Notamacropus eugenii: one gene and its partners. The protein of the gene in region 2 purifies or fractionates together with the protein of the main gene of each other region. This does not show direct contact. Links are inferred from orthologs where the notes say so. Each region holds a gene or a part of one and is shown on either strand. Other genes may lie near its edges.

What was found.
Region 1: the proteins of BPTF (region 2) and HMGXB4 fractionate together in Homo sapiens (co-fractionation; 3 studies listed by BioGRID, with this or other methods). This does not show direct contact. The link is inferred for Notamacropus eugenii from reciprocal best matches to the Homo sapiens genes BPTF and HMGXB4.
Region 3: the proteins of BPTF (region 2) and SMARCA1 purify together in Homo sapiens (affinity purification with mass spectrometry; 4 studies listed by BioGRID and IntAct, with this or other methods). This does not show direct contact. The link is inferred for Notamacropus eugenii from reciprocal best matches to the Homo sapiens genes BPTF and SMARCA1.

The regions. Positions count from the first base shown.
Region 1 is NC_092874.1:292,389,418-292,396,767, reverse strand, and holds the start of HMGXB4 (HMG domain-containing protein 4), read right to left. Parts: upstream 3,125-7,350; 5' UTR 3,005-3,124; intron 1-3,004. UniProt on the Homo sapiens protein: Negatively regulates Wnt/beta-catenin signaling during development.
Region 2 is NC_092873.1:328,044,203-328,052,072, forward strand, and holds the start of BPTF (nucleosome-remodeling factor subunit BPTF), read right to left. Parts: upstream 3,049-7,870; 5' UTR 2,909-3,048; coding exon 2,209-2,908; intron 2,094-2,208; exon of another isoform or gene 1,827-2,093; intron 1-1,826. UniProt on the Homo sapiens protein: Regulatory subunit of the ATP-dependent NURF-1 and NURF-5 ISWI chromatin remodeling complexes, which form ordered nucleosome arrays on chromatin and facilitate access to DNA during DNA-templated processes such as DNA replication, transcription, and repair.
Region 3 is NC_092879.1:51,279,872-51,286,913, reverse strand, and holds the start of SMARCA1 (probable global transcription activator SNF2L1), read left to right. Parts: upstream 1-3,927; 5' UTR 3,928-4,116; coding exon 4,117-4,230; intron 4,231-4,775; exon of another isoform or gene 4,776-4,991; intron 4,992-7,042.

The DNA of each region.
Region 1 (7,350 bases), on a different chromosome or scaffold from region 2:
ATGAAAACAAAGCTCCCAAATTACCCAGGGAAGCAGCTGGCTTGATGGAAAGCTTTGTATAGAGAGGTCCTGGGTTGCAAGGACCTCGGCTCTGCTACTTGCTCAATCCGAGAATCCTTTATTAAGTGCCTACTGTGTGCCAGGAGCCGTGTTAAGCCCCAGAGACACCAAGACTGTCTCATCCTGGGGGCACACTTTCCCAGTCGAACCGCCAGGAAAGGAGATCATGACCTCTCAGCTCTCTCCCAGGGAGAAATCCTAGGATCCAGCTCTGGAGACAAGGCTAACACACACAGAGCACATTAGTGAAGAATAATCCCAGAAGAGATCTGGAGGGGACTGCACCTGTTCCCTTGGGTCCCTCTGACTAGTTACTGTTGTATTCACTGTGCAGATTATTGAAGTCTCCACTTCACATGGCAGCTACACCGATGGGAGCATGACTCTTTTCCTGGTGGCTCAGCAGAAAGTGCTTCTAGGCTTGTTGCAGCCTGGCCACAGTCACCTCGGAAGCCTTGCCAGCCCTTAGATTCCCCTGAGGTGGCTCCCTAGAACCCAGGCTGCCTTCATGGACCCATTAGGCACTGGAGCAAGGCTCTGGGTGGAGAAGTTATGCAGCTAAAATATAGGACAAGCCCCTTTCCCCCTCTGAGTTTGGTTCCTCATTTGTAAAACTGCAGGCTAGGACCAGGGTATCTCTATTAGGTCCTTTCCAGCTCAAAATCTGTGCTCTTTGTGAGCTGGTAGGCTGGGAATGGAAACATCTAGATTCTAGTTTCTCCCCCTCTGTTGGTCTGTTTCTCCCTAGTACCTAGAACACAGCCCTGGTGTTTACAATAAATGCTTGTAGGATTAGATTGCTAGCTGTAAAAGGGGGTTAACTTAGAGAGCCTCTCAGGCCCCTTCTGGCTCTAGAGGGTGACCCCCTAAACTGGGGAGCAGAATCCGCTCTCCGGGCCTCACTTGTGAGATGAGAGGGCGTCCTGGGACGAACTCTCGTGCCTGCCAGCTCTAAATCCAGGCAGGATACTCTGACAGCCTGGCCCAGGGAGCCGCCCTTAGTTCTGGTCCATTCTCTGGGGCTTAGGCTTTGTCTTTGGATCTCCGGTACTTAGGATTCAATGGGCATTTGAGAGAGACCACAGACAACATGACAGGCTTGCACCAGTTCACTTTTAAAAGTCCCTCCTAGAGCCACGATCTGCCAGCCTGGGGAGCAGATATCTGCCTTTCCGTTCAGTGCCTACCTACAAATGGGTCTGGGCTAGATTATCCTCAAATTCTCTTCCAGTTGGGACTGGGAATTAGGATAGATGAGTTCTGGTCCCTCCTGTGGGTTAATGGAAGAAGTCAAGGGTTCGAATAACTGTCACCACCTTCTACCTTTCTTAGGCAAACTGCTTGCCTTTTCGAGGTCTCAGTTTTCACACCTATACCACGAAGGCCTGGAGGAAGTACTTAGGGTTCTAAATCTAACACACATCTCAGTCTCAGTTTCCCCACCTGCTAAATGGGAGGGTGCACCAAGAAGGCCTTTAGGGTCTCAAGTTTCCTTGTTCTGAGTCAATGGTTCTATGGGACCAGAAGACTTGAACTCACTGATCTATTCTATACTCTTTCCCTTTTCTATGCCTCAATTTCCTGGTCTGTGAAATGAGGAGGGCAGCCTAGATAACCACTGAGATGCTTCTAGATTTAAATCTACGATCTCATGACCCTTCTGGGCCTCAGTTTCCCTAACATTAAACAGGAAGGTGAGACTTGAAGACCTCTCAGATCCCTTCTAGCTCAAAGTCTATGGATCTATAGCCCTTTCTGTGACTCAGTTTCCTTCTCAATAAAATGAAGGAATTGGACTGGATGCCCTCGAAAGTCTTTTCCAGTTTTAAGGTGAGGGTCGTTGGATTCTTTACACTAGGGGTCAGAAGACCTGGACCCATGGATACATTCTATTCTCTTGCTTTTGTGCTGACTCAGTTTCCCAATCTGTAAAAAATGAGGGGAGTTGAACTTGACCTATACGGTCCCTTTCAGCTCCAAGTTTGGTGTCCTCAGGTGCTCCAGACTGGGGAATCGGCCCCTCTGGGCTCACAGGGGCATTCTACCCTCCTTCCCTGCTCCGTGCCTCAGTTTCCCCATCTGTAAAAACAAGGGCAGTTGAACTTGACCTCTAAAGTCCCTGCTCTTGCTCAGTTTCCCCATCTGCAAAAAATGGGGGTGAAGAGGTTGGGTTGGATAGCTCCGGAGGTGCCTTTGGCCTCCAAGTCTGGCGTCCTCGGATGATCCAGGCTGCGGAATCAGACTCCCCAGGCTCAAAGGTGCAGTTTATCCTCCTTCCCTGCCCCGTGCCTCAGTTTCCCCATCTGTAAAACCGAGGGCAGTTGAACTGGACCTCCAAGATCCCTCCCAGCTCCAAATCTGGCGTCCTCGGGTGCTCCAGATTGGGGGTTCGGCCTCCCCGGGATCACATGGGCATTCTACCCTCCTTCCCTGCCCCGTGCCTCAGTTTCCCCGCCTGTAGGGTGGAAGGGGCAGGGCTGGACCCTCCTGGCTCACTGCATCCGCGCTCCCCCTACCCACCAGCCCCGCGCCCGCCTGCCGACTCCCAGCTCCAGCCTCGCTCCGGAACCCGCGGCCTCCAGGGCGCCCCCCGCGGCGGGGGCGGGCACTGGGCAGGCGCGGGGGGCGGGGCTGCCTCGGCCTCGCGCGTCCCCGCGCGCGCGCTCCCGCCCCCGGCCCCCGCCGCCACTTTCCCGCCTTCTCTGTTTGAACGCGTCCCGCCCCCGTCGGCCCCACTCCGGCCGCCCCGGGCCGCCGCCTCACGCCGGGCCGTGGCTGCCACTCCAGCCCCCGGCTCGGGCCCGGGGCCTAGGCCGCGCGGCGCGGGGAGGCGGCCTGGGGCTGCCAGCGCGGGCCTGGGGCGGCGGCTGGGCGCGGGTTGGGAGGGGCGGGCGCCAGGGGGCCCCGGCTGGCCGGGACGGGCGGGGTCGCTGCTCGCCGCTACCTTCACTCCGCGGGCCCGGCTCCCGCCTCAGCGCCGCCGACAGCCGCCATCTTGAGAGGGAGAGGACAGGGGAGAGCCGCTAGGCCTCCGCAGCCGAGCGCAGAGCGCCTCCACCGCGGCAGGCGGCCAGCCCGAGGGGCGGGGAGGGAGCGGAGGAGGGAGAAGAGAGAGGGGAGGAGCGCCGAGCGCATCGAATACCTGTTGGAGCGCTCTTGCTCCAGCCCCAGCGCCAGCCGCAGCAGCCCCGGCGCGCGCTGCCCGCTCTCTGCGCTACTTGCGCGCCTGGCCTCCGGGGTCGTTGCAATGAGGAGTAACGATAAAAACAGCTGGTAGCGTCCACAGGGCGCGTTAAGGTCTGCTGTGCATGTGACAGGCATTTTCTCTATTTGTCCCTTTAGCAACCTTGGGAGGGAGCTAGCACCACCCCCATTTTACAGATGAGGAATCTGAGGCACAGAGCACTTGCCCCAAAGAGGCAATAGTTACAGAACTCTGAACACAGTGGCTGGCACGTAATAGGAGCTTAATACGTGCTTATTATCTCCTTCCTTCCAGAGTTGCCCAACTGGTAAGCGGCAGAGGCAGGATTGGAACCCAGGTCATGAGAGTGCCATCACCTGATTGTAGGATCATGGAGCTGGAAGAGACCTTGACCAACCTTCCTCCTTTTACAGATGTTTTATTTAAACTTGCCCAGAGTCATCCTGTTACTTCCTCTAACGTTCCAGTTCAAACCCAGATCTTCGGACAAAGTCCCACCACGCCCTGCTGCCTGCCTCCCTGGAAGCTGTAACCGATGGGATTTCCTCCATCCCTAGGGGCTAGTGCCCCCTCTCCCAAAGTCTTTTAGTTCTGAGAGGCAGTGAAGTGGGTAGAGAGCAGTGACAGATGAGGAAACTGAGGCAAACAGGGTGACATGACTTGCTCAGGGTCACGTTGGATGTGAGCCCAGGGCCTCCTGACTCCCAGCCTGCTTCTCTGTGCTGCCCCTTCTGTTCTCTTTGGTTACAAACCACAAATAGCTGATGTGTGTATTGGTAGAGGGAGTTTCCTGCCTAGAAGTTCGCTATGCCAATAAAAGTATAGGACCAGAACTAAAAATAAAACCTCCATTCCTGGTTTTTTTTTTAAAGGTAGGAATCTATTTTTTCATTATTTTAGGCAACTCTCAGCCAATCCATCACTTGCAATTTCTACTCGAGGGTTTAAGTACATATTTGAGCCAGTGTGTGACAGGGTCTATCCATTGTGCCTCCCTTGCATACAGTGGACCCTTACTAAATGCTTGTTAGGTTGACAGAATCAAGACTTTATTGAATCTTAGAGATGAGAGGGCCCTCAGAGGCCACTTAGTCCAACCCTCCTTCCCTCTTCAACCTCTGTCATCCTTTAGCCTCAATTTGAATATCCCTGGTGATGGGGAGCTCACTTCCTCACTTTAGATGGTGAGTTCCTTGGAAGTATTTTGGATTGTCTTTTACCTTTCTCTGGAGTCCCAGTGCTTAGTGCACAGTAAAGCGCCTAATAGATGCTAATTGACCGACTATTAAGTCACCCATTTTACATTAGCACTGTTCTAATTGTTAGGAAGGTTTTCCTTTCCTGTTAGGAAGTCTACTTTCTTACATCTTCCACCCACTGACCCTGGTGAACCTCAGAGATCAGCTAGTCTAAGTAAGACCCTCATTTCACAGAGGAAGAAACTGAGGACTAGGAACTTTGACAGGCAGATACTGTAAGTGAAAGGATTCAAACTTGGGTCCTCTGACTCCAAATTTACCAATCTAAGGCAGATAATACTCTTGACTATTTAATTTTGAAAAATAAAATATCACCCCTCTCCCCAAAGTCTGAGTCCATTTTCCTTTGGATAAATAGTCCTTTCAGTAGGAGAAAGAGGTGTAGTAGAATGATACCTTGATTTGGTACTGGAATCCAGTCTTTGATGCTTACAGGCTGTGTGGCTGTAGTAAGTCACTCCCTTTCTCTGAACATCAATTTTCATACCTGTAAAATGGAGATACGACAGCCAGGTGGTGCCATAGTGGATAGAGTGCTGGACCTGGAGTCAGGAAGCCTCATCTCCTTAGTTTGAATTCAGCCTCAGACTAACTAGCTATGTAACCCTGGGCAAGTCACTTCACCCTATTTACCTGTTTCCTCATCTGCAGAAGGAGCTAGAGAAGGAAATGGTAAATCACTCAGTGTCTTTGCCAAGAAAACCCCAAATGGGGTCACAAAGAGTCAGATGCAACTAAACAAGTCATTTCACCCTGTTTGCCTCAGTTTCTTCATCTGTAAAGTGAGCTGGAGAAGGAAATGACACAACATTCCAGTATCTTTGTCAAGAAAACCCCAAATAGGGTCACAAAGAGTCAGTAGCAACTGAAAAAAACAAACTAAAAACAAATGATCCTTTATCTACCTTAAAAGGTGGTTGGGATAAAGTTTTTTTTTTTATTTTTAACTATAAGACCCTGTGAAAATGGGAGCTGTCGATGGTTATGTGGAAGTTTCCAGAGGGTCACAGTGAGGGCTGGGAATGTATGGGGGTTGTCTTTGTAAGAGCGCATTGTGAAATCATTTTCATGTTGAATCATCCCCTGACATATTGCAAAAGTTATTTGCATTTTTAGAACCAGGAAGTGCCTTCAGACTGCTGAAGAGCTATTATGAATCAAAGAGAAGAGACATTGATCCAGGTGGCTCTGGAGGGCAGGGGAGAAGCAAGAATGCTCTGGGTTCCATCGTTATCATTCCCCACATTTCCAACTAGATTCTCCAGATGACAAAGGGCTTTCCCAGCAAGTGTCACTTCTGCTCCTTATCGCCACCTCGTGGGAGTTACATGTCCCTACAAGGATGGTTCCAAATCTTTCTCCTGTTTTGGCTTCTGTTCCATTGCCAACCCTCTCAATGAAAGCAGACAGCCTCCTGCTTCAGAAATGATTGAGGATGTCTGACAGGAGCTCCCTCTGCTTGTTCCATCATCACGTACTCTTCTCTTCTTCTCTCTGCTCAATGCAAAGGGGGTCCCCATTCCTCCCTTGGACTGAACCCTTCCCCCCCACCAGCTCCTCCATTTCCTTAGAGAGCTTGCTTGGCCACCAGAGTTTTTCCAGCTGCCTTCAAACACAATCAGGTTTCCCCAACCCTTCAAAAGTCTTTCCTTGACCCTTGATCATCAAGCTATCATGCCTTCCTACCTCTCTCTCCTTCTTTGGAGCTAAAGTTCTGGAAAAGCTGACAAGTCAGTAAGCCTTTATTAGGTACCAACTATGTGCCAGGCAGTGTGCTAGGAGGCAGGGATCTAAAGAAGGGAAAAACAAAAACAAAGTTCTTTGCTTTCAAAGAACTCACAACCTAATAAGACAACATGAAAGCAACTATGTTTAAACAGGATCTCTCTGTCTCTCTGTCTCTGTCTCTCTCTATGTCTCTGTGTCTCTCTGTTTCTGTCTCTGTGTCTCTCTGTGTCTCTCTATCTCTGTCTCTCTGTCTCTGTCTGTCTCTCTGTCTCTGTCTCTCTCTGGTGAATTGGGAATAATTTGAGAGGAAAGACACTAAGATTAAGGGCTGGGAAAAACGTCACCTACCCCTAATGTTTCTCCTTCTTTGGGACTCATTTTGTCCTTCATCAGCCCCTTGCAGTCTAGTTTTTGCTGTAACTGCTCTACTCAAAGCCTTAAAGGTCGCCAACTGCCCTTTGAATCACCCATTGCACTGGTTCTCCCTCTCACCATTCCTCCCTCCCCCCAACAGTACACTACACTAGGTCTTCACCTTCCCTGAGTTGTCTGTAGCCTTTGACAATCCCCCCTCTCCCCCCCTCCGACCTGGGGTTGGATTGTCTCTCCCTTTGGCTTCCACCTCACCCAGTGAATCTTCCCTGATTAGAAATGCCTCCCTTCTGATCTCCCAGAGCACTTGGTTCTGAAACCTGTCAATGCAATTGTCCCGCAATTTGGAATATTATCTTTATTTGTTTTGGGGTCTTATTCCCCTACCAGACTAGGAGTTCTGTGAGGGCAAGAAGCCTGAATTATCTAAACTTTGTGTGTCTCGCAGTGACCAGCATAGGGCCTGGCACATAGTAAGTGCATGGTTAATGTTGGGTGAATTCTACAGATGATTAAACTGAGGCTCAGAATGGTAAAGGGACCTGCCCAAGGTCACTTAGTTATGTGCTGGAGCCAGGACTAGAATCCCAGTCTCTTGTCTCTATTCCATTGTCCTTCCCTTGGATCGTGAGAGATCGTAATGAGGGTACTGCTCCCTCTGACCTGGAGCCTTGGTAATAATACTGGGGATCCCTTTGTATTGAGATAAGAGAATTTTCCCCAGTG
Region 2 (7,870 bases):
TTAAAAACTAAAATATTAGTATTTGTAAACAAGTTTTCAAATTCAAAACATATACCTTACAGAGTTATGGTACCCACTGTAAAATGATAAAAACTTTTCTATTAAACAGACTGAACTACCAGTCTGTACCAAGTACAGACTTTTTAACTACTACCATATGAAAAGGCACATAATAAACCCACCAGTTTAAGACAAAGTTAAAGTGGATGATGACATTTTAAATTAATTAAAGGGAGTAGATATAACTCCTCTTTACTTAGCCTTCAAAAACAGGAGTTCAAGCAAGCTAAAACTGCCTTGCCAAAATGTCTCAACTCTAACTTTAAAAAACTTTCTCCAAAGGAGTGTTATTCAGTCTGCAAGGAGGACTGGAACCTTTCAGTCTGGCTCATTCAGTTGTGTGATCCTTAACAGAAAAAGACTCAAGAGAGAAGAGGAAGAGAAGAAGGGAGAGGGAAGGGGGGGGAGGAGAGAGAAAAAGAGGGGGGAAGGAAGAAGAGGGAGAGGGAGAAGGGGGAGAGGGGGGGAAAGGAGAAAGAGAGAGAGAAAGGGGAGAAAGGGGGGAGAAGGAGAGAAAGTACAAGAGCTGTGATTTCTTAAGGTGAATGCTCTTAGTGGCATACCAACTGACAAAATTGAAATTTGCACACATCACTAATATCTTCAAGAGATAAATGCTTAATGTTACTTTTTCATTTCAGTAAAAGAACAAAAAGAAAAAAATGAACATTTTCTTGCTTTCAGACACGAAATGGCATCTTTAACCCAATCAATGAGTTTCTTTAGAGGCAAAAGAATAGAAATGGATTAGTTAGATGAATTCAATACAAGTTGAAAAATAAAAATTTAAGTATTTCATACTACTTGAACATTTTATCTATAAATACTGATAAAAAATAAAAGGCATCATATTCTTGTAAATTAGAAATATGTTCTTATGAAAATTCACTTGGGGGGTGGAAAGGAGTCTTTAAAAAAGATGCTAATTGATCCCAATCGCCAAAATTACTGAAGAAAAACAGGACAGGCTGCCATTAAAAGCCTTAAATACATTTTTCCACAACTGAGTAAACTGCATCTATCTTGTTTAGCACAAAGCTTCAATCGTGATTTTTAACCAAATGCATTTCAGTACCGGTCTGAAGAAACTTCCTTGAGAAAACAGGAGAGTATGAGTTACCATGGAGGAGCCTCTTACCCACCAAGGCTGAACTTTCAAACTCAATCATCTAAGGTGAAAAAAATCTACACTGTAATAAATCCTCCAGTTCTTTTTTGAAATTGATCCAAAAGTTGATCTTCAAAATTTACTTTCAACGATCAACTCCATCTTCTGCAACAGGTGACATGAAACTCTACTCCCCAAGGAACATGGGGGTGCTTCTAAGAAGGAAACTGCTTACATGAGACTGAGGGAGACAAATATTGTCATCTGGGATTTTACAAAACTGAATTTTAACCAAATGTACTCTTTTAGTCGGATTTTTTTTTAAAGCAGCCACCTAAGGGCAACTGTTGCATGTGCCCGTGAACACACAAAGAATGAAAACAAACACACGTATGGCTAATTAAGGTTTCCCCCAACAACACAAGTGGTGGAGCTAATTCCTTGAGACAATTGCAAAACCACACAAAGCAAGAAATGTGAAAAGAAAAGAAGCACGAGTAGAAGCAACATTATGTACATGTTTACACCCTAAACAACTCCCTCCGTAGGATCCCTGCTAAGAGAGGAGACTCAGCCACTAAAGAGAATTCACATTAAGCCATGCAAAGTGGCTCGCTACACAAGAGGATTCTTCACCTTAAAAAAAAAAAAGGAAGGCGATGGCTACGTGCATGGCCGTCTCAATCCTGCCTGGAGGAAAGGCTGCACTAGCTCCAGTTTTGGGGGTGGGGGGAAAGTGGGGGAGAGGGAGAGAGAGAGTGTGGCCTGCCAACTGCAACAATGCAATCTCCATTTTGAACAATGCACCTCTTTCCTCTGGTAAATCTAGTTTTTTGCCACTTGATGTGCGATTGCATTTCCCCTCTCTTTGGGGGTGAGATGGGGGGTGCCGCTACAGCAGGATGCACCGTGCAGGACGGACACGGTGAGTGTGTGTGTGTGTGTGTGTCTTCGGGGTGGAGGGGTGAGGGGTGGATGGAGCAGGGGGAGAAGGTGGAGGGTGGAAGGCTAGCCCCGAGGCGGCCGGGCTGGGTGGGTACCTGGGGTGCTGCTGTAGGTGCTGTGGCTCCTGAAGCTGCTCTCGGTGCAATAGCTGGCATCGTCGTCGTCTTCCATTTCCTCGGGATAATCGGAGTCGTCGTCGTCGTCGTCCTCCTCCATAATATCTTCCTCCTCCTCGTCCTCCTCGGAGTCCTGCGTCTCCTCGGGGTCCCCCTCCTCCTCCTCCTCTTCCTCGGAGACCATGTCCTCGTCCTCGTCCTCCTCCTCGCTCTCGTGGTCATCGTACACCACTTTGCTGATGCTCCTCCTGGACGGGGTGGCCCGGGCCAGGTGGCCTCCGCTGCCGCCGCCGCCGCCGCCGCCGCCGCCCCCGCCTCCAGCTCTGCCTCCCCCGCCTCCTCTCCCCCCCCGGCCCGGGGCGCCGGCGCTGGGGCTGCTGCTGGGGGGGGCGGCCGGCGGCGGCGGCGGCGGCGGCGGCGGCGGTGGCGGAGGCTTCCTCCGGCTACCGCCGCCCCCCCTGGGGGAGCTCAGCCGCGCCTTGGGCGCCACCTCTGCCTGGGCGGCGGCCCACCTGCCCCGGCTGCTGCCTCGGTGCCGGGAGCGGAGCCCCCCGATGGGCCCGGCCGGAGGCGGCGGTGGCGGCGGCGGCGGCGGCGGCGGCGGCGGGGGAGCCGGGGCGCCGCGCTCCGCAGCGCCTGCCGCGGGCTGCTTGGGCGGCCTGCCCCGCCTGCCCCTCATGTCGGAGCCGAGGAGGGAGGGAGGGAGAAGGGAAAGCCGAGGGGGGGAGGGGGACCGGCCGAGAGGCGGCGGTGGGGAGCCGCTGGGGGCGGGGTGGGGAGCCCCGCGGGGTCGGGGCGGGGGGGGCCCGGCCGGCGGAAGCGGGTGGAGGGAGAAGGCTCAATCCGAATTGCCGGCGCCCCGCTCCCGATCGCCTCCAGCCGCCATCTTGTTTCTTCCCTCTCGCTCGGTGACTGGGGGAACCGACAGCGGCAGCAGGCCTGGAGCGCGGTCACGTGAACGCCCCCGCCGACGAGGCCGAGGCCGACGCAACGCAGCCTCCTCTAGGGGGAGCGCGGGAGCCTGCAGCCCGGCCCGGCCAGCTGGCGGGGGCGCGCAGAGGGGGGAGCCCGGGAAGCTTGGGGCCCGGGGCGCTGGGGGCCCTGAAGGACCGGAACGGGGGGCGGCGAGGGGTGAACTAGGTATTTTAAATGAGCCCTACCCCTCTTGGTGACGAAGACCCAGCCAGGGAGAGACTATCGGGACTATTACAGTCCTTACCTCTCCACCCATTCCTCCCCCCCCCCCAGTAGCTGAAAAACCCGAGAAAAGGGAAAACCCCCAAATTAAAGTGGTGGAGAGACCCCTCCCAACAAAACTGGAGCCAAACTAGATTTGCAGGCGCGATGCTGAGCAGTGCTGCATGGGGACCGGGGGAGGAAGTAGGAAGGGGGGGAGGAGCAAGCATTTCAGCCGGAGCGAGACACTGAGGCCGGGCACTGGGCAGCACCAGAGACAGAGACCCTGGGAGGGAGTGCCTGCGGGCGGCAGAGAGGACTCGCGAGCACTCGGGGAGCGCTGGGTCCTGGAAAATCCTGCCTCCGAACCCTAACCACGACACCTCTGAGGGTTCAGGAACCCCGCCCCTGCTCTTCCAGAGTAGCATTAAAGGCGACTCCAGAAGTGAGGACTGTACTGGAGAGGCACCAGCCCCGCCGCCCCGGCTCTGGGGTTTGACAGCTTCGGTCCGAAAGTGCCTCCCCACGCAGCCGGCACGCGCGGTGGCAATAACCCGCATTGATCCTCTTCCACTTCCCCATGCACCTAGACACGCAGAAGTGAAGTGCTCCTAAACTTCAGACAAACTTCCCAGTGCCACCCTTGCCCGGCTGTTTACTCCCAACGTTTGAGGCTTTCATTTTTAAAGACGACCACCTGTTAATTTCATTTTTAATTGGGTATATTTAGGATTTAATGTAGCATTGTATCTTAATTACAATACAATGGTGTTCTATGCCACTACAAGTCATTGGTAGGCCGCTGAGGTTCATAAGGAGGACTGGACCCTTTCTAAAGTAGTGGGACAAATCTTCCTCTATGTACACCTCGCACCCTCGTGGATCTGTGGCAAGGATATGCAAGCTACCCACATACACATACCTACACTATTCTGTGAGTTGGGCCAGTGAACGATACTGAGGAAACACCCTAACCTCTATGAACAGTAGAGCAAAGGATGATTGGGAGGAGGGAAAAGATCGAACTTCCCTATAGGTTTCTCCCAGAGTCCTGGCCTCCGTACACTTCTGACTACCTTTTAAATTGCAAGTGCCCCTGGTGGCATTCCGATGTTCAATTTTCTAAGCTAACATCTGAATTATCTGCTAAGGATTAGCTAACATTCAGCTGAGGAAGCAACAATGGGATACAGGAAAGGTACACAGAAGCAAAAAGGCGCTGATTTTTAAAGCTCAAACTTTACCGCTTTCACAATTAATGTTGTTTAACCCTTAAGGCCCTGATCATGCCACTCAAAACTTACCTGCATGTCACCTTCGACATGCTGGAACCACCATCATTACTACTGATAATAAATCAACTGACTCACACTTGCCATGTTGCTGTCACTGTGCTAGGTGCTGGGGATTGTTTCAAAAATGGAAATAATCCCTACTTTCAAGGAGCTTGTATATTAATGGAGGAGATCGTATATGTTATACCTCCTCTGGGCCCTCAAGTCTGCGGCTGGGATCACCAAAGTGGTGACTGTTACCTCTGGCTTTTGGGGTTTTTTATTTGTATAACCCAACGAGTGGCTACTCCTACTATTGTTGCTCATGAAGCCTGACCAGTGTGTTTTCTCTTATCAGCCGCAGCAAAAACAGTTGATACAAAATATTCTTTCAGAAAAAAAACCTGGAACACTTTCTCCAACAAATACACAGTCTCAAGTGATAGGCACATATTTAAAGAATACTAATGAGGTATTCAAATAGGGAATTCTCACAGCTAAGGCAACTTATAACTGTGGAACTGCAGGGACTTAATGTCATTTCTCTATCAAGTCCTCACAAAGCTCATTGTGGGTGAGATATTCATGAAGGCTGGGATTCTCTGATGCTAGTATAAACTGGCTTCCCTCAGAGCGTATCATCTCTGATGGATGAGTGACTGATTTGGTCTTGCTTGTCACAGAGAAAATTGTCTAAAAAACTAAAAATGAAAGTCTATGGGTTTTGAAGAGTAAACTAACCCCTCCTGTAGCTGCTAATGAGTATGTGGAAAAATTGTTTGGTTAAAAATCTGAATGGACCTGTAACTCCCCCAAATCCAGATTATGAGCTTCTCACCAGTCCCTGATATCACTCCTTGATAGGCAGCTGTGTCTTCACCATGTCCAGCCTTATACTTGTCTGGAATGTACACTATACTCTTTCAGAAAAGACAGAGGCCTTTACCCTTAGATTAGCAGAAACTCCAATTCTGTTCCTTCAGGACATTGGCTCTGAGGTTTTCACCTCTCAGGCAGAAGGTAGAAGAGTTATGGCCAGCGGTAAGTGATAGCCAGCTCATACTAAGCTGATTATCACATTTTCAATAGGAGCATTTATACCTCAAAAATCAGCACATGATTTTTTGATTATCTAAACTTGAGAAAGTGATAGGAATAAAACCATTATTAATGGAGATTAAACTTATGTATGGAGCATCCACCCTCACCCACCCCACGCCCCTTGCCAAGAGCTAGTTGTTAAACATTTTTACCAGTACAATGCTGGGTATAGCTTTTCCTTTTAGCCACTTTTCCCAGTTCAGGGCTGGGATCTTTCACTGAGGGACCTCATCCTAATTTACAGTGACCAATCAGTTGTTTGTTCAATCATGTTTGACTCTGCATGACCCCATGTCCACAGAAATTCCTTAGCAAAGATACTGGAGTGGTTTTTCATTTCCTTCTCTGGTATGTCCCCATTTTACAGATGAGGAACTGAAGCAAATAGGGTTAAGCGACTTGCCTAGAACCACATAACTAGTAAGTGTGTGAGGTCACATTTGAACTTAGAAAGATGAGTCTTCCTATCTCCACATCCAGCACTCCATCCACTTCACCACTCAACTACCCTGGCCAACTAGTATTTTTCCCAAAATTCCATTTCTGCAGGTTAGGTCATTATCAGCCTATAACCACGTAGCAAATAATCACCAAAAGGTCTGAGGTTTGGGGTGTCCCAGTTTGGGGGGGGGGTTGTTTTATTTTGTTTTTATCTCTAGTTTCCTCCTATTAGTCCTTGGAATGAATGGCTGAGGAAAAGGTACTGAGTTAGATAATTTCTGCCCTGGCAGCAAGTTCATTTTGTTTGCTGGTTGTTCAGATGCTTCCTAACTTTTTCATATACAAAGGAGAAGTTCAAAGGCCTTTAAGACACATTTTCAGTTGTATGAGACTCTTTGTGACCCCGTTTGGGGTTTTCTTGGCAAAGATTTCCTTCTCCAGCTCATTTTACAGATGAAGAAACTGAGATAAACAGGGTTAAATGACTTCCCTGTGTGGCAGGGTCACAGAACTAGTGTCTAAGCACTGATTTGAACTCAGGAAGATGAGTCTTCCTGAATCCAGGCCCATCTCTCAATCCACTAAACCACCTACCTGCCCATTGAGACAGGTCGGATGATTCTATCATATTTGAAAGACCCTTATTCAGATCTCATGTCAATCAATCAGTATTTATTAAGTGCCTACTTTATTAAGTGCCTGGGGAATCTAAGAAGGGGCAAAAGACAGTCCCTGTCTGTTATACATGTGTGGTTTTTTCTTTGCAGAAATATTTCAAATGCTTCTTTTATTGAATATCTATGTTTTTTCATTGATATTAGGCTTAGATTTTTAGGGTACATCCTTTTGGGTTGCATATTGAGCTCCTTTGCCTTTTCTTCCATTCTCTTCTATGATTTTTGGTGGGTGAAAATATTCTTATGTTATTCTAATCTCCTTTCCTTTACATCTTAAGGTTTTTATTCTGATTACTTCTTTGTCACCAAAATTGCTAAATTTAACCACTGTGTGTTTTGGAGTGTGAAACATAAGTTATTTTGTTTTCATGGAGTTCATCTATGAATTCTTTCAATTAGCTCTTTGTTATTCATATTCAAAAGTTCTAGGAAATTTTCTTATATTATTCTTAGCATTATGGTGTTCAGGCTTTTTGATTTGTCATGTTATTTGTTGGCTTATGATCCTTACGTTGTCTCTGGATCCTGTCTTTGAGAATAATATGTTTTGCTCATATAGATAGCTTGCATTATTTTAACATTTTTGCTTTTTTCTTCTTCCAGATAATCCTTCACTTCAATATATTTATATTCCTAATCTATTGTCTTTTTCACTTCTTTGGACAGACTCACTCCCATGAACTCAAGTTTTTCTCTTCTGCTAATTATTTCTGCTGTGTAAGCCATACATTTTGCCATTTGTTCCTGCCTAACTTCTCTCAAGATTCTGATTTCTCTCTTGCCATTAAGGAACCAACATCCATGCTCCTGGTAATCCACAGAATTTTGTGTTTAATCAGGCGTTGTTTTAGTTTCCTTTTCTAGCAAGATTATTTAGGGATAGTTGCAATCTTTTAGATGTTTTGGTACTCATATTCCCTTCTAACCCAATTAAATATCTTTACGTTAAATTTAATTAAATCAAGCATTTAG
Region 3 (7,042 bases), on a different chromosome or scaffold from region 2:
TTCTCCATTTTGCTCTCATGGGGAGCTGGAGAAGCTCTATCCCCCCAGAGATTGGAGTCTTTGGTTTGAGATCAGCCTTGACATGCTGCAGGGTTTTTGACCCTGTCCTGAGAAAGGCAGAATGACAAGTACTTAGGATAAAGAACTAAGGATCAGGGAGATCAGCTTAGTGGCAAGCTAAGCTAAGATGACACTTTATGATGGATCAAAAGGGGGAAAATCTAGGGAGATGAATGTAGATTAACATTAGAAAGGTTATCAAATGCTATTAAAGGTCAAAGAGAACTCCTAAATAAACATATTTGTGTGCATGTATGTGTGGCTATATCCATACATATGTATATATGCATATATAGATATAAATAGATAATAGATAAATATATATATCTATCTTTATATATGCATAAAGAGAGAAGTGAGCTTACTGTATTATACACCATCTTTACAAGGCTGTTTTTAAAGCACAGCAGTGCCAGTCCCAGCCCGGGCACCCCCTTATATACTGTCTGGGGTACTGACCTCACAAGAGCCTGATGAGGTAAGCAGGCCTTTATGATGTGAATTTTCCAAATTAGGTAATTGGGCCTCACCAAGATAAGTGATTTGAGGGACTGACAGTTGTAATTCAGCAGAGTTGGGAACTGGAAACTTCTGATTCCAAATCTAAACCTTCTTTTCCATCACCACAATGGCTCCCAACCTCAATGGGTCTGTGGGACACAAGAAATCCTGATTCAAAGCAATCTGCATTGTTATTTTTTTTAATAGCAACTTTATTGAGGCCTTTTATCTTCATAACACAATCTTTCTTTCTCCATTCTTGGATGCCTTGTTTTGGTTTTGCTTCCCCCCCCCCCCCTTAGGGTTCAATTTCTTTTTTTTAGCGATCTTTTCATTTCCATCAGCATAGAAATTGTGCTCCTACATTCCCTCTTTCCCACTAGGGAGCCCCTCCAACTTCTAGTGGTCCCAACTCCTCTGTGAAGATTTTACTTTTTTTCTGTAATCTAATTATGTGTGTATATTGTCTTGCCTAATAGAATATAAATTCCTTGAGTTCAGGGGTGATTTTCTTGCTTTGTAATTATATCCCCAGGACCTCCTGGTGCCTATCAATAGATCTTGTCTATTCTCTGAATTTCTCCTATTTGTCATTTCTCCCTGCATGCAATATCCCATCCCATTCATCTGGCACTATTTGTTCAACCACTTCTAAACTGCATTAACTTTTCCTCATTATATACAAAGTTCTGGGGCAATTCCTCAGGATTTTGAGGAAGCTCCTTGTAGTAATCTCTCTTCAGAAGACAAACTTTCTTTTGATTAAGATTTAGAGCCAGAGTCCTTTGGGCCTAACTATGGAACTCTGTCAGTGGAATCACAGTGTGGTTTGGTGTATCTGTCAAGATGCCAGATCTGAGAAAAACATCGGGACAATATTGAAACTGTTATACCCGTGGTGATCCCTGTCTTAGGAGAGTATTAGACAGTAGCAGTAACTCTTTAAAGATCTTTTGTCAGCTTGTAAACAAGATTGGATACCCTGAAATAAGTCAGAGAATCCTGGAATGTCAGAACTGGAAGAGACATCACCTATTTAATTCAACACTCAGACCTGACTAAGAATTCCCCTCTATGGTATCCCTGGTAAGTAATCTTCCTATCCACTTTGCCAGCTAGCTGCCCCAAGAAGTTATGTCTTGTCTATACAGTCAGTATATGTTACAGATGGGACTTGAATCCAGATCTTCTTGACTCCAAGGCCAGGCCTCTACCTAATATGCTGTGATGTCTGGTCCAAAGGGAAGTATGACCAAGTGGGTGTTCAGGTCCTACTTCTGATACTACCTGTGTGATCTTGTCATTTATTCTCCCCAAGCCTTAGTTTCCTCATCTGTAAAATAAAGGGATCAAACTAGGTCTCTGACTTTATGATAATATACATATATAGGAAGTTTTCAGAATATACACTTTTAAACAGTGTGGTTTTAAAATCAAATTGTTTATTTTCCTGGGAAAATGTAATCCTGTTTCCAAGGGCTCAAAAGTAGGCAATTGATCAATGAAGGCCTCCTTTAGTGGGCACCTTTCTCCTGCCTTTGTAAGGAAATGAATTGCAGAGAAAAGAAAAAGGAGTGTATTTGTGTGATCAAAGAACTGAGAGCTGGAAGGGGCTCTTCATTTTCCAGATGAGGAACTGAGGCCCCAAGAAGGGGGGGAAGGAACTTGCCCTAAGGTCATACAGTGAATGCAGAGCCTGGAGCGAAACTCTTGTCTTCTGATTTTCCAGCCAAAGCCCTCGATTCTCAGCACTCTGCAAAGTCGGAGTTGTTCCCACTTGAGGGACTGACAATCTGGTGAGTTTCCAAAGTGAGCAGGAAGAATTTTGGAGAGAGAATTAAGGATATGAAAGAATTGAAGCTGGTATCTCTGAGAGTCTCCCCTTTCTGTGCGCATTATTGGTGGATATCTCTCCTAGCCACCCAGATCTTTCAAGCCCCCTTTCCCACAATCAAAACTTGCCCAAGGAAATGGGAATCTTTCTCATAAATTGCAATAATTAAAAACTTCTCTCTTCCTTGGCTAGTTATGTTTTCTGATGTGCTTTATATAATCTTTAGTGAAAGCAATGAAGCTCTCTCTGATCTTGTAATTTTAGACATTTGCTAGGTTGTGGAGGTATTTTTGTAGGGAAAGGAGGGAGAAAGGTGTTTTTCTCCTCTCCCTGCCTCCATCCCAAAGTGCCTGACACATAGAATCATAGCTGTGGAGCTGGAAGGGATCTCAGAAGCTCCCTGGTCCAGCCCTGTTATTGGACAGAGGAGGAAACTGAGGCCAGAGAGGTGAAGGGACTTGCTCGAAATTACAGGTGTAGACATTTCAATCCAAATTCTCTTATTCATTCCAGAGCTAGGTTTTGGTCCACAGTGACAGGTTACCTTCTCCACATTAGGGATTTAAAGAAATGGTTGATAGACTGGATTAGAAAGCAGACTGGCAAGGTCCCCAGGGTGGAACTAATTAATTCTCAATTTTTCAATCTGTAGCTTTTTGGAGGGGGGGGGGGGTACACTGCTTTCTTTTAAACCTTTTTTAATGACGGATAATTTAAACTCTGCAGGTTGGAAAGAAAATAGAGGGAAAAAAACACAGGAGTTCAAGTCAAATCAAGAAGCCTTTATTAAGCACCTACTATGTGCCAGGTACTATGTGAAACTTTGGGTTAGCATTGACAAGTGAAGGCCTTTGGGAGGACTGCTCATCCCACTGTGTCAGTCTCAGTGGGGGGCCTGGAGAATGCAAATTGCCCAGCTTCCCGTTTGGGACTGTAGACATAAATTGTTTTTAGATGCACCCAATATCTGAGTGCCCAGTCTGCTCCAGGAGCCGAATGCCGGCTGTTAAGTCAGAAAACCGCTTGCTGTGTGACTATGGATGCCTCTTCCTTTGCTTCTGCGTGCTGGGTTTTCCCACCTGTAAATGGAGGAGATGGGACTAGAAGGTGGTAATCCCGCAGCCCCTTCCAACAAAGGAAGGGCCAGCGAGTTTCTGGGTTTTGGGGGTGGCCAGAGAGTCCATCACTGGTCTGGGCCTAAAGGCCTGGGTGGAGCTTTGCTCAGGGAATTTTATAAGCAGGGAACCAAGAGCCCTTGGAGGTTACAAAACAACCAAAAAAAAAAAAAAGAAGCTGGACCTCAGTTTGGTTCCCCCTCCCCCTTCCCTCTCTCCTCTCCTTTTTCCCCCTCCCTTTTCTCCCCATCTACGGGTGGTCTATTGGGTGCGCTAGGGGTCGAGGTCGGGGGGGGTGTCGGGGAGAGCGCGTTTGAACGAACGCTCCGGCGCGGGTTGGGAGGGGGGAGTCTCGCGATTGTTGTGGGGGGCGCCGGGAGGGGGGCCACGGGGGGCGGGGAGGGGAGGGGGGAGGCCGTGACGTAGGAGGGCTGAGAAGGAGAAGGGGGCGGCGGCTCTGTGCTCTTGGCTCCCTTCTCCCCTGCTCAGCCGAGGGGGCTCGCAGCTGGCCGCTTCTCCTGCCCAGCTTCCCGAGATCGGCCTGAACCCCGAGTCCCGAGCTCCGAACTCCGAGCCCGCGGCCTCCCCGCCGCAGCCGCCGAGCTCATGGAGCTGCAGCAGTCTGGCCCTGGGGCCAGAGCGGAGGAGGAGCCGGGACCGTCCACAGTTCGGGAGGCGGGAGCGGCCCCCGGGGACCGGGGGGAAGAGGAGGAAGAGGAGGTAGGCTAAGCCTGCCGTGGGGCGGGGGGTGGGGTGGGTGGGGGGCGGCGGGGAGCCTCGCGCTGCCTCACTTCTCCAGCCTCGGCGCCCTTGCCTGCAGGGGTGACCCCCTCCGCGCCCACCGTCGGAGCCGGCGGCATGGGCCTGAGGGAGGAGGCGGGGAGGGGGGGAGGAGCAAGGAGAGGTAGAGAAAAGGGGGGCCGATTGGGCTGGGGCGCGGGGGCCGAGCCCTTGAGGGGCCCTACACTTCCCGAGGGGCTGGGAAAAGAAGCTAATTTGGATCTCTCTTGCTGGGATGGGGAAAGCTCGAGCGAGTCGTTTTCATTGGCTAGCCGGGCCTCGGGGATTGGGGGGTGGAAAAGAAATCGTCTCTGGCCCTGGCAATCCCCACCCCCATCGTCCTAGCCAGGCCACCCTGGACAGCAGCCCCTGAATTTTCCCTTCCCCCTCGCTTGTAGTCCCTCCCAGGAGCAGGGCCTTCTCTGCTGCTGTCTGTCTCCTGTTTCCCGTTCTTTCCTTCAGCCTCAGCCGGTCCCCCGACATACACGCAGTTGAATTTTTTCTTTAAACCGGCATCTTTGGGGATGAGCCACCCTCCGCTTCCCGGATGGGCTTGGGTCTGCTCTGATGGTTGCCCTATAGAATTGATGCTTTGCTGCTCCCCATCTTCGGGCACAGAACCGCGGAGGCATGATGAAGAACCAGAGCTCGAAGTTTTCCCCATTAGAGATAGTATAGGGACAGCTGGGCTGTTGTTGTTCAAAATTGCTTTTGTGATAGCATCTCCATATATTGAGATTTTACCTTTTAAGGCGTGCCAGGCTTGCATTTTTACTATGTAAGGTAATTAACGTGATGCTGCCCGGCCGTCAAGTGACCTGGCTTGGATTATGACGTGATGGTGATGTCAGAGGACCAAATGTCAACCTTTCCAGGGCAATTAATAACTTCTCTCTTGCCTTACCACGTCACAAAATCACTTACTACTCATCCTTATGAGTGATTTAAAAGTCAGCAGATTTTTTTCCTCCCAAAGAACCTGTGGCAGATTTTACTGTTAGAAGCTGGAAGAGGAACACAGCCTAAAAGGAGCCTGTTTAGTGAAATTCTGAGTTCCTTTGCCACTTGACCCTTGAAAATGTTCAAACCTCCCTCTAATAAATTCAACCAGACTTTGCCACAAACAACAGTAGGGAGCAAATCTTAACCAGTTTTTAAATAAAGACTCGAAAGAGCATGTATGTCTTATTCCCTGAGAATGACACTGTACTTTCAAGTGTCCAATAACACTTTAAATCTCCCAAACTGTGAAATAGGATGGTACTTCATCATTAAGGCCAGTGCTGTGCCCTGGCATTTACTTTCCTCTTTATAAAAAGCACAATAGAATTTGTGAACACTGAATGCCTTAACCCTCCCATTCCTGTTAGGCAGGGTGTCCCAAAAGTCTTAGTGCACTTTTCAACCATTACAAACAAACTTTAAACTGCGATTAGACTTTGGGGACACACTGTATATATTGTATGTAGTCACAGAAAATTGTATACTGGGTGTAAGTAGGTTGCAGCATATTAATAATGATGACTTATGAGCAAGAAAAGTAAAAGATACTGAAGACATAGATGAATGATGGGAAAAGGAGGTGGGACATTTTAGCTTCCCTCATGGCCGCCCAGCTGAAGACTCATAAGAGGGCCTCCAGTGGAGGATTTATGGAGGACAAGGACAAGGACGCTGGAAAAACAGTTGTACATCCTGGGCTGGGCCTTCCCAAGCTTTGAGTCAGAGCCTGTATATCAGTTGTGCGTCTGTTGTCTAAGGAACAGAATAGCTGTCAAGAAAGGATCAATGAATGAACAAGGTTGACCTCAGGGTGGGGAATTTTTGAGGTGCAATAATTTCTGAAGACTTGTCTTTACTAAGTTATGTATGGGTTGTGACTTGCATTGGTAGAGGGACTAGCCACACTAATGAAATAACAGAAAATAAAATTTAAAAAATAGGTAGTGTTTTTACATAGCGCTTTAAAGTTTGCAAAGCACTTTACAATCTATTAACTCGTTTGATCTGCACAACTACCCTGCGAGGTAGGTGCTATTATAACACCCATTTTACAGATGAAGAAACTAAGGCATTGAGCTTAAGAGATTGCCCAGGGGCTGAGACAGGATTCAGACTCGGGTCTTGCTCATTCTAACCAGTTGTAGCTCCCTGAATAAAAAGAAAAGAAAAGAATAATCTTTATTATTATTGATAATGATGATAGTATTTATGTGGGGTGTTCCAAATGACTTAGTTCTCGGTTTAAATGACTTAAAACTTCACTAAGACTTTTGGAACCTCCCCCCCACCCCTGCCCCGCCCTCTCCCTCCATAACTTTCTCTAAGGTTGGCCAATGACTTTCCCCTTATATCGCCTCACTTGATCCTCACTTTTCAACCTAGTAAAAGAGATGATATTATTAGCCTCATTCTACTGAAGGAGAAAATTTAATGACCCATTTACCCTCTGCCCTTGGGGACTTTCTTTGTAGATCTATTTGAATAACAATAATAATACCTAGCTAGCATTTAAATAACACTTTAAGGTTTTCAACTCACTTTTCTATCTCATTTGATCTTCACCACTGTTGGGAGAGGTAAGTGCTTTTATTATCCTCATTTTATAAGCAAACTGAGGCTGAGTAAGGTTAGGTTAATATGTTATATTTTAAGTGATTACAAGCTGTTGTGCTTTTTGTTTTTCTCTGTCCACTTTTTCTGGTTCTCTTGTTTTCTCTCTTCCCCCCTCTTATTTGTTACTTCTAACCTG